2 linked regions of the Arabidopsis thaliana genome follow. The protein of the gene in region 1 binds, or shares a complex with, the protein of each later gene. Each region holds a gene or a part of one and is shown in the gene's direction. Other genes may lie near its edges.

Region 1 (6,966 bases):
ACGCGCGACTTTCCCACTAACTTTGCAGTGAGTGTTCGCTATTCTCTATGCTTCAAATTCAATCCATCCTTTCTCCATTTCTATCTCAAAAGGCCTTTCTCTTTCTCGATCTAATCAATTAATCTTCTTCTTTTTCTTTCTTATAAGGAAAGCTATACACAAGAAGAATACAAGAAACACAAGCACAACACAGAAACATGCGTAAATTGTTTCACCGAATAAAGTAAAAAATTATCAATAGTTAAACACAAAAGATTACAAGTCCTCTTAACTATTTTTAACAGAAAATGTATGTACCAACACCTCTGGTTACGTGATTTTCTCATAACTTTGGTGATTGGTATATTGGTATCACATCGCTATATATGAACCATGACAGTACATAAATAAATAATCATATGGCACGTATAAGAAGCCTCTAATAATCTTCCTTAATTAGTCTCCTGGAACCAGAAAGTATACATAATTATAAAAAGCAGCGGTAACTAACGAAGATTTATAATATTTGAACACAAAAAAGCGTGCTCATATGTAATTATTGTGAGCTAGTATAGAATGATATATGAAAATAGCTAAATATTATTGTAAATGCGGATTAAAAATGACTGAAAAGAAGAAAGAGCGTGCTTGGAAACGGAACAAACAACTAGCTAGTATTAAACATATACTTTTTCATGTTATCAGAGTAAGTAGTAAAGTGGAGCGCATAATGAGTGGATGCTTTTTTAAGGTTATGTTACCAATTAAAACTAGTGATTAAATTATGATTATGGAATTATTATATACGAAAACTGAAATTGTCTCATTCGTATGTCATGCTTCTTTGCGCCCCGTGCTCGAGTACCCTATTCATTAATCACTACCCTCTCAGTATTTCATAATTTCTATGATTGCTTTGTTTTCTTTTATTATCCATGTACAATATTTTTTCCTTAATGGGATTATTCCATGTGCAATTTTGTTAACATGTTTATTTGTGTTTATAAGATATTCTTTTGGTAGAAATTCGTCATTCCTTTGCTTTGACATTTTTTCTATTTATATCATTTCCCTATATTTTTCTTATGTGTTACGTAAATGTGATGTTAACATTCGATATGATGAGTCATTGAGATGAAAAACGCAAAATTGTGTAAATTTTCTCTAAGAAACAAATAAAAGAAAATTTGAGTAATTGGAGAGAAGACTGAAAGTTGCGAGTTAAAACAGATCCGGAGCTCCGGAAAGCAAAGCGGATCGGACCACAGCGATGATGTCAGTAAGAGAAACAAGGCCTTGTAGCCCACCGTTCTGGTCCACGACCCAAACTCTGTGTACACGTTTCGTGGTGACCATATGGATCACCTGGGCCAAGGTTGATGTCACGTGACACGTCACGAGCTCCCTCCCTGGTGTTGAGGTAGCAGCGGTGAACAAGAGAGTTCTTGGGATTTTCTCGACGAACTCTAGTGCATTTAGCGGCAACCACGAACGCAATGTGGCTAAATGACATCCCTTCAGATCACTAGCCGAGAATGTCCCCACCACTCTCCGATTTTTCCCCTGCACCAGCAAACACCAAATTAATCAACATTTGATCTTAATAGATACTGATAGATACATGTATAAGTAAAGACACCTACGTCGACGAGCTGTTTATGATCCTCTCCCTCACCAGAGGCTTCGACGATAGGAACCGCATTGAGCATTGCTATACTCATGCATTGTATTGCATCTTTCACTCTAGCCTGGTATTAAACATTACAAGCGTTTAACTTAGGATTTAATGAATAAAGATGAAAATTCTTGACTTGTGAAATTTACCTGGCTAGTGAGGGCTAAAACAGTGTTGTGAATAGCGGAGAGATCAGTGACGGTGTGGGAGAGGATACCATGCAATTGAGAGGATTGGTCGAAGAAGAAAGAGATGAGATCCATCTGACTCAGCATTGCGTAAGCAGAAGCTGACTCTACCAACTCAGGTCCTGTTATATTTTCTGTATTACTGTCCAATGGAACCAATACCCTGTGGATTCCTTTACTCAACATCTCCATACAATCCATGATGCTGCTTTCATCAATGACCATCTTTGATTAGTACTCTATCCGTTCATATATAATGTTAAGATTTTTGACAAGAGAAAAATGTTTTGCATTTTTCTATGAAAAATTTGCATTATAATTTCTAATTTATCATTTAGTTTGAATTATAAAAAATATGAAACTATAAACAATTAATGACTGAAATATGGGTATATATATTAGGTGTTGCAAAAGAATTCTTACTATGTGAGAAAAGTGTACAACATCTAACATTATAAAAGGGAAGGATTAATTATACTGAAAGCAATTTAATTTTACAAATCTTCTATACTATTAACCTGGTATTAGGATTGAGAGACCAGAGGCTAAGACCCTCAGGGCAATGACCAATGATAGAAGAGACAGGGGCAGCCATTTTCTTATCAAGCCCACTCTCGCCGTCATCGCCGGCGATGTGAGCCACAACGTCGAGCATGGTCACCATTCCTATGTACTGTTTTCTTGCACTTCCGCTCTGTTTGTCCAACTCTACTATCATTGATCCCCCGGCTCCCAGCCATTGGCCTGGTTTGGCAGCCACCGGTACAGCTCTAACTCGGTTTGCCACCGGTTTGATACCAAGAATAGTCTTGTTAGTAATTCTTGATACTTAAAACGGTTGACTCCAACCAAAAAAATAACAATTATTTAGCCGTGGTTTACCATAGTGTTCAAGGCGTCCCCTAGAGTGGCATTATCAGGAACTTCGACCAGCCGCCGCTTGTCGATCATCAGATCTTTGACCTTGAACTGCATCAGACGGCTGTACGACTGCATGAAGATTTGTATTTGGGTGATAGTCAAAGTCTCAAAGAAAATGGGACGAGGCTTATGAACTTCTAATCTTTGTTTTGATGCTTTCGTAGTTACTTCATTATTCATATATGTCATGTTACTAGTAAGATGACACGTATTACATGTGTTGCTCCATGGGCATGTGCTTTTCGTATGCACAGACCACGCGTCCGTTTATTCAGATTCTCGTGTTACAACAAAATAATGATTTTAAGGTTCAGAATCAAACATATGAAACTTTTTATCAATTGCTATCTACGGTTTGTTACAAAAACAAATACAGTGCCCAGTTCAAAATACAAATTGAATAATAGCCCAACATATCGTAAATGGGAAAATGGGCTCAGCCCAAATAAAAAAAAAGTAAACGATAAGGAGACGTCGGGTCCCGTTCACGAAGCGGTCGGATCTAGGGCCCAACACAAGACGAATGAAGGGAATATCTCGTGAAAGCAATAAATGCAGAAATCGAGAATCATGAATTTTATTTATTTCGCTCCTCGAGTTATCCCGTGAAAGTCATAAAGACATTGCGAACGTTTTTATGGACCCACCAATTGTTTCTTCAGAATTATACATATACACACTGACAATTTCGAACCTAAACCGCATTCACACAACAACAACAACTAAGAAATGGCACGATATGAATTCTTCCGCCAAATATTCATTGTCTTGTCTATAGTTTCTCCGTTGGTCAGATCTTTCACTGTGATCACCTCCGACTCGACGGCCCCATCTGCTCTGATCGACGGCCCACAAACTGGATTCACGATGACCAATGACGGCGCTCGCACGGAGCCTGACGAGCAAGACGCCGTCTACGACATTATGCGTGCGACCGGCAACGACTGGGCTGCCGCGATTCCAGACGTTTGCCGAGGGAGATGGCACGGGATCGAGTGTATGCCGGACCAGGATAACGTCTACCACGTGGTCTCTCTGTCGTTCGGAGCGCTCTCAGACGACACGGCGTTTCCGACTTGTGATCCACAACGCTCTTACGTCTCTGAGTCCCTCACGAGGCTCAAACACCTCAAAGCCTTGTTCTTCTACCGATGTTTAGGCCGCGCCCCACAGCGCATACCGGCGTTTCTGGGACGCCTCGGCTCGAGTCTGCAAACGCTGGTTCTGAGGGAGAATGGTTTTTTGGGACCTATCCCTGACGAATTGGGCAATCTCACCAATTTGAAAGTTCTTGATTTGCATAAAAATCACCTCAACGGCTCCATTCCCTTGTCGTTCAACCGGTTCTCCGGTTTAAGATCGCTTGATTTGAGTGGTAACCGGTTGACTGGTTCCATTCCCGGTTTTGTTCTTCCGGCGCTGAGCGTTCTGGATTTGAACCAGAATCTTTTAACCGGACCGGTTCCACCCACACTCACAAGCTGTGGATCGTTGATCAAAATCGATCTTAGCCGAAACAGAGTCACTGGTCCTATCCCAGAATCGATTAACCGGCTCAACCAATTAGTGCTTTTGGATTTGAGCTATAACCGGTTATCAGGTCCATTCCCGTCTTCTCTCCAAGGCCTAAACTCTCTTCAAGCTTTAATGCTCAAAGGCAACACAAAATTCTCAACAACGATTCCTGAAAACGCGTTCAAAGGGCTCAAGAACTTGATGATTCTTGTTCTCTCGAATACGAACATCCAGGGCTCGATACCGAAATCATTGACTCGGTTAAACAGTCTTCGGGTCCTTCACCTAGAGGGCAATAATCTGACCGGAGAGATTCCTTTGGAGTTCCGGGACGTGAAGCATCTAAGCGAGCTGAGGCTCAACGATAACAGTCTGACAGGACCAGTACCGTTCGAGAGAGACACAGTGTGGAGGATGAGGAGAAAGCTGAGGCTGTATAACAATGCTGGTTTGTGTGTTAACCGGGACAGTGACTTGGATGATGCATTCGGTTCAAAATCTGGTTCAACTGTAAGATTGTGTGATGCAGAAACGTCGAGACCAGCTCCTTCCGGTACGGTCCAGCACCTATCTAGAGAAGAAGACGGTGCTTTGCCGGACGGAGCTACGGACGTGTCAAGCACTTCCAAGTCTTTGGGGTTCTCCTATCTTTCTGCATTCTTTCTTGTATTCCCTAATTTCATTTTTATGCTAATATCTAGTTAGAGGAGGGATGATAAAACTGCTGTAAATACTTCCCGAGTTTAATAATGTTAGTTAGATGCCTTTTCTGCATTAGTTGGATTGAATATCGCCACCATTTATGGCTACAAAAAAAACTTGTAAGCTCGAACGTGTTCCTTCTGTCTATATACTCTGTTCTTTGATCTCTGTTTTATCTTTCCGGAGATAAGAGACTTGTATTGCTTGTTCTTCCATGTTTTGTACATTTGGCGTTTATTCGAAATGGGAAAAACCTCTTAAAATAGTTTAAATTTGTCGTTTTATTTTCTCTCATCGAAGACGTTAGTTACCAAAATTCCGTTATACACGTACGTATGATTACATCACATTCAAGATTTTGATTATAGTGGCAAACCATCTTTTTAAGATTTAGGGACCTTACTATCTATCTCAGTAAAGCACAAGACAGTACAACATCTTACAAGTCTATACTGCAAAATAAAGCTAAATCACACACACGGTAAGAAAATTGAGTATATCTCAAGTAAATGTGTCCTCGCGATCTCCCTCTGTAATGTCAGCCTCCTCCATGTTGCTGAACTCCAGGAAATGAGTGGGTCGATGCTCCTCGTGATAGAACTCCTTTGGGGATCCGAGTTTGACACTGTATTTCATGCTCAACGTGTGCTTCACTCCAGTGAAGCTATAGTTCCACGGTCCACTCTCAGGAACCTATCATAACATCAGTTACAAAAATCAGATTTCAATGGTTTATATCATCCAAGGACAAAAGCACAATTGCAAACTCTGTTGTCTTACCATGTAAAACCCGAGGAACCGGTCACTCAGCAGCATCTGAACCTTTTCATAATGGGTGGGAAGGTAACCGTGAGGATTGCTGCCATTGTCCTTGTTAAGCCGCCCCCATTCATATCCGGTTTGGGTCAACTTATATGACGTCAAAGAGCAGGAGCCCGGAGTGAAACTGCAGGTCAGGATGATGCATTTTTCTCCATCCCATTGCTTGTTGTTCTCCAGAATACGGGAATGAGAGGTTACATCCTATCAAAGAAAAGATCAGTTAGCAATGAGGTTAACAGAAGGTAAAGATAAATATATATATATATATACCTGTGGTGATAGCTGAGGCAGCTCGTTAGGCTGTGTGTGCAACCATCCCAAGGGCTCAAGATCATTTAGGAAATCATGCTCAGGAAGAGATGACGGCAGGTGAACTAGCTGATGATTTCCCCACTGTGGCACCATCACAACACAACGGATCTCCTTCACCTGGGGATTATCCGGGGGACTAATACCATATAAATACCCAGCAATTTGAGTACGAAGATCCGCAACGCATATGAACTTCTTCAAAATGTTCTTTGGCATGATGTAGGTGTATCCGGTTTCCTGTGACAACAACAGACAGTGTTTAAGGTCGACACCTGAAAGGCTTTTACTTAATTGACAAAGTGAATTGGATTCTAACCTTTATGTCATCTGAGTTCACATATATGTGATTGACTCTAAGGTAAAGATTAGTGGCTGATATTGCACGTACACGCCAATCTGTCTTGGAACCGAATGCAGATTGCTCGTAAGGGCTTGTGGTGGTGACAATGAGCTCATCACCATGAACATTTGTAGTTCTTGTTGTGACTGCAGTAAGCTGGCTGGCTTCCTTTGCCTGCAAATAGGATATAGATTTACAGTGAACAAAGAATAATAGTCACAGTCCACTCTCACAATGTTTGTGTTTGTTAGAAAACCTGATAGAACATAGAAGTAACAGTTACGAGTACCTGTTTCTCAATCTCAGCTATCTGTTGCCTCTGTTGAGAGGGTGGAGTAATCTCAGCTCCAAGAATAATATCTCGGATCTCTGATTGTGTCAGAGCTGAGGTATTCACATTGTTTTTCTTTGCGTAGTCAGAAAGAATAAGATCTCTAAGTGCTACCTCCACCTGAATTTAACATGATCGTGAGTAAGGAAGGACTATTTCAAAAAAAGAGAAGAAAGTAAAA
Region 2 (6,372 bases), about 18 Mb from region 1:
AATATTATCGATAAATATTTGAATAAATTTATATCTTACACCGTCTATTTAGGCGAGCCTTATCTAGTACTATTATATTCCTCTCAAACATGAGTTAGTTCAAATATAAATATACATGGGTTTAAACTTTACATTTATATTTGAATAACTTGTGTGTTTGGTTATTTTGATCTCATTCTCTATGAAAAATCGTAACAATATAATTGATTCAAAACGAATAAGTATAAAAAGAAAGTAAGTAACATTTTTTGTGCAAATATTGCAAATTAAATATCAAATTTTGCTAATTTACTTTTACCAACATAGTTTTATCCTCTTATAGTTATATATTACTACAAACTTTTATCCTTTTACTCTCGTATTATGAAAGATTTATCACATAATATTACCGACAAGAAAGAACATTACTCCTTTTTCTATTACATTTGATTGCCATTACAAAAACAAAAATCAAGAACAAATTAATTTCTCTTTACCTATTAATTAAACATGTGGGTCATATTATGAAAGACTTAATAAAATACATTACTATACAACATTAAATAATCTATCTAAAACAAATATTTGACAAGATAAGATATATATTTGTATTTTTTTCTACTTCAATAGCATCACTTATTTTAAATATAAGCTTATATAATTTGAATCTTAAAAAAAAATCAACTTGTGTTGTAACATAGGTCATAATCTATTACTGATTTAGTAGAATATCAACACAATTACAACCCACCAGCAAGTAGAATATTTTTCATAGAATCATAGGGACATATTACAATACATTAAATAGATAACATAAGCATGTTTTGAACTAAGAAACATCCTAACTATCACAGGTTTGGTCTAGAGAACAAGTGAAGTAAGCCAAAGATTAGATTAAGAGTTGTCCACCAATTGAAGAATGGGAAAGAGCTGAGTTAATTCATGAGTTCTTGACCCATTTGTAGAGATGACGAATTTGATCTCTAGATCATCTTATCCAACATCTAATTTATACTTCATGCAAGTATGGCATATTGAAATGTGGTTAAAAGCCATGAAGAATCTGATGATGAAGTTCTGTATCATGGTTGTTGGTATGCAAGAGAAGTTTGACAAATATTGGAGTGAATACAGTGATATCATTGTCATTGCAGCAGTGTTTGATCCAAGATTGAAGTTCTCTATGTTACAATATTGCTTCGATACACTTGATGCTTCCATTAGTAAATTTAAGATTGAACATGTGCGTAAGAAGCTGAAGAAGCTTTTTGAAGTTTATAAAGAATCCAAAGGAAATTGCAATTAGAACTTCAAAAACCATAGTTTGACAAAACATTCTTCTAGGATATGGTGTAAGTTTCCATCTTTAACCCTCTATTAAAAACTTTCTATGTTTTGATGTAGTGGTTTGAATCGTTTATGGTTTATGTGTATTGATGGTTCTCTTAACTTTCACAATGGAAGAGTTTTATGCTTTCATTTCTCAAACGGCTGGGGCTAATGGATAGTCAGCATTAGACAAATATTTGAATGAGCTGGTTTTGGACATGATAGCATTTAAGAGCATGGATATTTTGCATATTGGAGAAATAATGCAAATCGGTTCAAGGAGTTGTCTAAAATTGTAGCTTCAAAAGTCTTCATTCAGCATAGGAAGTCGGGTCTTAAACAAGTATCAGAGTTGTCTCCTTCCCTACTAACGTTTAAGCTTTGATATGCGCGAGGAATTGGCTATTTGACATATTTTCTTTTGTCATATTTCAATCAATTTGAATTTAAATGTAAATATGTTTTTTTGTTGTACTTAGATGATCATATTGAGTTATTTAATGAAGACAAAGATGGCAAGGGAGAAATATAAGAAGTTTAAATTTGCATTTAATTGCTTTTAGATTTGATACTTTGTTGAATTGTGTTCAAATTTGTTTTTAGATATATTTCAAAGTATAAGACTTTTGACTTATGTATTGATTAAAATATGAACCAAAAACTATTATGTTCAAATTTGGTTCTGATATGCCCATTGAACATCCCATTTGAACATAAACTTTAATGACATGAACGTTAATAGACATGAGTTTTAGTGGACATGAACTCCATTTATCTAATATCAAAATAGACATTATTAAAAATTGGAATGTGTTAATGGATATGGATAGCCTGCTATAGACTACCATTTTTGTTGGACATATCTTAAATTATCAACGAAGTACTCAAAAAATAAGAAAAAAATTCTGAAATAGTCTTGACCAACATTTCTTTCTTCTTAGACCTTCGAAACACATAAAAATGTTTTCTAGACCAAAACACATATTAATCATCATATTTGTTGGAGCTCAGATTTTATATAAATATCAACCAAGAAGAAAGGACTAGTTTAACCGCTAGGAATCTTTTTGTGACCAGAAAACATTTCTGCCTACGCTAGGAATCATCTATCAATAAAACATGGAATTTCTTCGTTACAAAAAAGAACTGAAAAATATGCTAAGCTCATTATTTGGTGCTTTGGGAAAAGGTCATTAAAACCAAGGGCAAGGTTCACGTTTGTGTGACAGGTTATTTTCAAGATGTCTGAACACTTTTTGGCTGCTTCTGTAAGTTCTCTGCTCTCTCTCCCATTGTGAACCTTATGACTACAATTATTAACTATTCCCTTATAGTAACTCCTTTTTTGGTCCCACGCCATATATTATATACCATATCTTTACGTATAAAACTTCTCTCTATATTCATGATACCACTAACACTTACATATTTAATGCTTCGACTTTTGTAATTATACATTCGTTCATCCTTGTGTACAATATGATCGATGGGCTTCTTGGTCTTTTAGCGGTAGAACTTTGTGTATATTAATATATATATATATGATTTACTGGTCATATTTTTTTATATAAACTATGATGTATTGGTCATAAATCGATGCTCAACTAATTTTTTTTTTAGTTTTATGTTGAACTATGATTTGTAGTGAAATATAGTCTTCTAGTTAAACATTTTCATCCATGGTTTATAATATGATTGATGAGATCTTCATATTATATATCCACTGACTGAACATGAAAACATGCACACAAGTCACAACCATATCTCAGGCTTTATTGCTACGTACATGTGAACAGTTTCTCATATTCAAAAATATTCATAGCCCGCGAACATGTTCATTGGTAACTAAAAGAATAAATCATAATGATTTTTTCTCAGAAAATCGACGAGAATCATGTGACCCTTCAACATGTGTGCCTCTTTTCATCATTTATTATCATAAATCATAAACACATAACCAATTCTTTCTCACCTTTTCCTCAACTATATATACACATATCTCACTTATCCCACCTTTAATACTTCACACACAACACATAACACACGTAGTACTTGCTTCCTATCATTTCTAGAAACTTCTCTTTAAAACCTCTGCCTCAACCAGAAAGTTTCTTCTTGTTAAAAAAAAAGATTATAAACATGACGAAGTTTGTACGCAAGTATATGTTTTGCCTCGTCCTAGTCTTCGCCGCGTGTTCTTTGGTCGTTAACTCCATTCGCACGCCGCCACTAAGTCCGTCACATCAATATCTTTTGGTTATAGTTTATATTTTACTTGGTAATGATTTTCATATATTAACATTTTATACTTTTTAATGTAGAAAACACGGTCAATGGCGGAGAAAAGAAAAACGCCGATATAGAACAAGCTCAAACGCACCACAAGGTAGGTCCTGTCTCCCACGGTGCACTTCTCTCATTTTAATTTATGTGCAAAAATACCATATTTTAATATATAAAAATATTTTTTTAATAATAACAACTGCATTTGATTTTTTCTTTTAATTAATTTTTAATTTTTTCTTTATAAAAGAAGTCATTGTCAATTAATTGTTTTCTTGTTGTAATGTGGTGAAGAAGGAAATAAGCAAAAACGGAGGGGTAGAAATGGAAATGTACCCAACAGGATCAAGCTTACCGGATTGTTCATACGCGTGTGGCGCATGTTCGCCGTGTAAACGTGTGATGATTAGTTTCGAATGCTCAGTCGCCGAATCATGTAGCGTCATCTACAGATGCACGTGCAGAGGGAGATACTATCACGTGCCATCTAGAGCTTGAATTGAATCTCCGCCGTTTATTTTTTTTTGACGTCTGTGATTAAAATATCAGTTTTGGCTGGCGGCGAAACTTTTTTTCTATTGTACAATTTGTTGGGATATTAAATTAAATGCTATTGGCCCACTTTGAAGTCTTATAATTAATATTGGGCTTTATTAGGCCTTTTCAAAGAGAGTTTGTATGACACGACCGAATCAGATTCTTGAACCGGTACATCACAAAGTCAAATGCTTCGGTTGGCCAATTATTTATTGTTTCCTTTTAAAAGCCATCTCCATCATACCGGTAACCGGTTAAACCAAAAAAATCATTTATGTAACAATGTGTAAAGTATAAACTTTTTCTTACTATGGATCGTTTTGAAATTTACATCTTCTTACATTAATCTGATTTGCATTAGTTAAAGAAATCATTTTCTTTTGTTCAAAAACTTAGACGTTTTTTTTTTTGGTTTAATTTAAAAAAAAACTTAGAAGTTAGAATAAAGTTTTGTTCTTCATTTTTTTGGTACACGAATAAAGATTTTTTTAGTTGTTTTTTTTTGGTAAAACTTTTTTTTTTGTTTTGTTTTTTATTAGTTGTTTATTTTCTCGTAATTTCTAATTTATGTTATGAGCATACAATATTCTATAGATTTTAAGTGTTTTTAGGGGAAAAAAACATTTGTAATAAATTTTACTTTTGTGTTTAAACTTTAAGCTATTTCCGTCTCGCTTTTTAAAGTGAAGACTAGTCTATGTTATTTGACTATGAAAAATGAAATTAAAAATGATTTTAAATCAGAAAATAAAACAATGACTTTGGCAAATAAAAATTTATTTATATTAATTTTGTCTTCCCATTTTGAAAAAGAAAGCTTGAAAATATCCCAAGAAGACATGGTCAATAGTCGAAGGAAGAAAGATAATGGGATGCAACTTGCAGGATTGTTAAATGACATATGACTGTTGAAGTAGCTCAAGATATATGGGCTACAAAGTCAACATGAAACATCTTAATCTGGACTGTTGAAATAGTGTTATCCTACGCAAACGTTAGATTTGTTTTTAATCAACTTTGAAAGATATGTTTTGTTTCTCTTTTTGGCATCAAAATTATATGAAAATTGAGATAATTAACCTGCCTAAAATTGGAAGGCAGGAAACGAAATCGAGCCTAACACTTCGCAACTAATTATCGAGTTGAACAATCAAATCAATTAATAATTGGATGTCAATTAATAATTACAATCAAATCAATTATTTCTCGTCGTCTTAATAATACACGTGTAATATACAGAGATTAATTATTCATTAAAAATGTATGCACCATTATTCTCTAGAGAATCATTCGAGGCATATTCATTTTTCACCGACCAATAAATGCGAGGCTTTGTAGATAACAGGTAACTTACTAAAAATGGTAAAATGATTCAACAGATTCAAGAATCCAGCAATGTTGCATAGCTTGAATTAGTGCTTGACATTCACTCTCCAATGCAGACTATACTTTCAATCCTTAAGCTTATCACTCTCCATTTTGCATATGATCTCTCTAAGTTGACATAGGATGAATCATGCATCATAGTTGCATTTCTCCTAATCTTGTCTAGAGTTGGTGTGGCGATCCCCTTTGTGGAACGGCATCACTTACTTAAATGGTAGACATTCAATTAAAATAGTCAAAAATAAATTTTGTTTTAAAAAAAAGTTTTGTACAAAAAAAAACCTTTCAAAGTAGCCAATTTTTGCAAATTTACCCCTGATCCCCAAAAAAATGCATGTTTAAAAATTCTATAAATTCAAAATAATATGCAATATAATGTTTTTTCTAATATTGTCAAGTTCTTAATATATCAAATCAAAGATCTTGAGACGACTAGTTCAACTCTATTTTTAGAATTTTTAAAATCAAATATATGTGATCGTGAAAACATTTACAATATACGTATAAGGTTTATTAAGTATTATTTTGGAATTTATAGGATTATTCTACCTTTTTTGAAGGTAGAAGATTAAATTGCAAAAACTAGCGACTTTAAAGGTTTTTGTTTTGCACAACCGTCAAAAAATAGTGACTTTCTAGTTTTTAGAGATCTCATTCTACTTATAAAAGAAATAAAAAAATACTAGTGCAATCTCTTAGACTAAAAAAATAGCGGAATCCAAATATTTGATGTAGTAACAAGATATGCTATGTTAGTCCTAATATATAATTTTTTTACAAAAGGTTCTCTTAGAAAAGGATAATTAATATTTTCATTCAAATTTCTACAAATTCAAAGACAAACTTATTTTTGCAGAA

What was found.
Region 2: the proteins of TMM (region 1) and EPF2 are in contact, whole or in part, in a crystal structure (PDB 5XKJ), measured with the Arabidopsis thaliana proteins. Residues at the interface, in NP_178125.1 of Arabidopsis thaliana: Trp73 (codon at 3,709), Ile77 (codon at 3,721), Pro78 (codon at 3,724), Arg82 (codon at 3,736), Gly83 (codon at 3,739), Arg84 (codon at 3,742), Trp85 (codon at 3,745), His86 (codon at 3,748), Gly87 (codon at 3,751), Ile88 (codon at 3,754), Glu89 (codon at 3,757), Met91 (codon at 3,763), Val101 (codon at 3,793), Asp110 (codon at 3,820), Asp111 (codon at 3,823), Thr112 (codon at 3,826), Ala113 (codon at 3,829), Lys135 (codon at 3,895); in NP_564442.1 of Arabidopsis thaliana: Asp75 (codon at 3,949), Tyr78 (codon at 3,958), Ala79 (codon at 3,961), Gly81 (codon at 3,967), Ile104 (codon at 4,036), Arg106 (codon at 4,042), Arg112 (codon at 4,060), Tyr113 (codon at 4,063), Tyr114 (codon at 4,066), His115 (codon at 4,069), Val116 (codon at 4,072), Pro117 (codon at 4,075), Ser118 (codon at 4,078), Arg119 (codon at 4,081).

What each region holds. Positions count from the first base shown.
Region 1 is NC_003070.9:30,126,090-30,133,055, reverse strand, and holds TMM (Leucine-rich repeat (LRR) family protein), read left to right. Parts: upstream 1-3,406; 5' UTR 3,407-3,492; coding exon 3,493-4,983; 3' UTR 4,984-5,237; downstream 5,238-6,966. Other genes in the region: CBSX4 (Cystathionine beta-synthase (CBS) family protein), read right to left, coding at 1,201-1,542, 1,623-1,727, 1,804-2,047, 2,361-2,629, 2,725-2,838; SUS2 (Pre-mRNA-processing-splicing factor), read right to left, coding at 5,482-5,673, 5,761-6,003, 6,073-6,351, 6,431-6,628, 6,744-6,905. UniProt on the Arabidopsis thaliana protein: Promotes cell fate progression in stomatal development. In leaves, needed to correctly orient spacing divisions, to limit the number of asymmetric divisions in neighbor cells, and to promote the asymmetric (amplifying) divisions of meristemoids.
Region 2 is NC_003070.9:12,469,543-12,475,914, forward strand, and holds EPF2 (Putative membrane lipoprotein), read left to right. Parts: upstream 1-3,325; 5' UTR 3,326-3,447; coding exon 3,448-3,541; intron 3,542-3,629; coding exon 3,630-3,694; intron 3,695-3,885; coding exon 3,886-4,089; 3' UTR 4,090-4,432; downstream 4,433-6,372. UniProt on the Arabidopsis thaliana protein: Controls stomatal patterning. Regulates the number of cells that enter, and remain in, the stomatal lineage by inhibiting protodermal cells from adopting the meristemoid mother cell (MMC) fate in a non-cell-autonomous manner.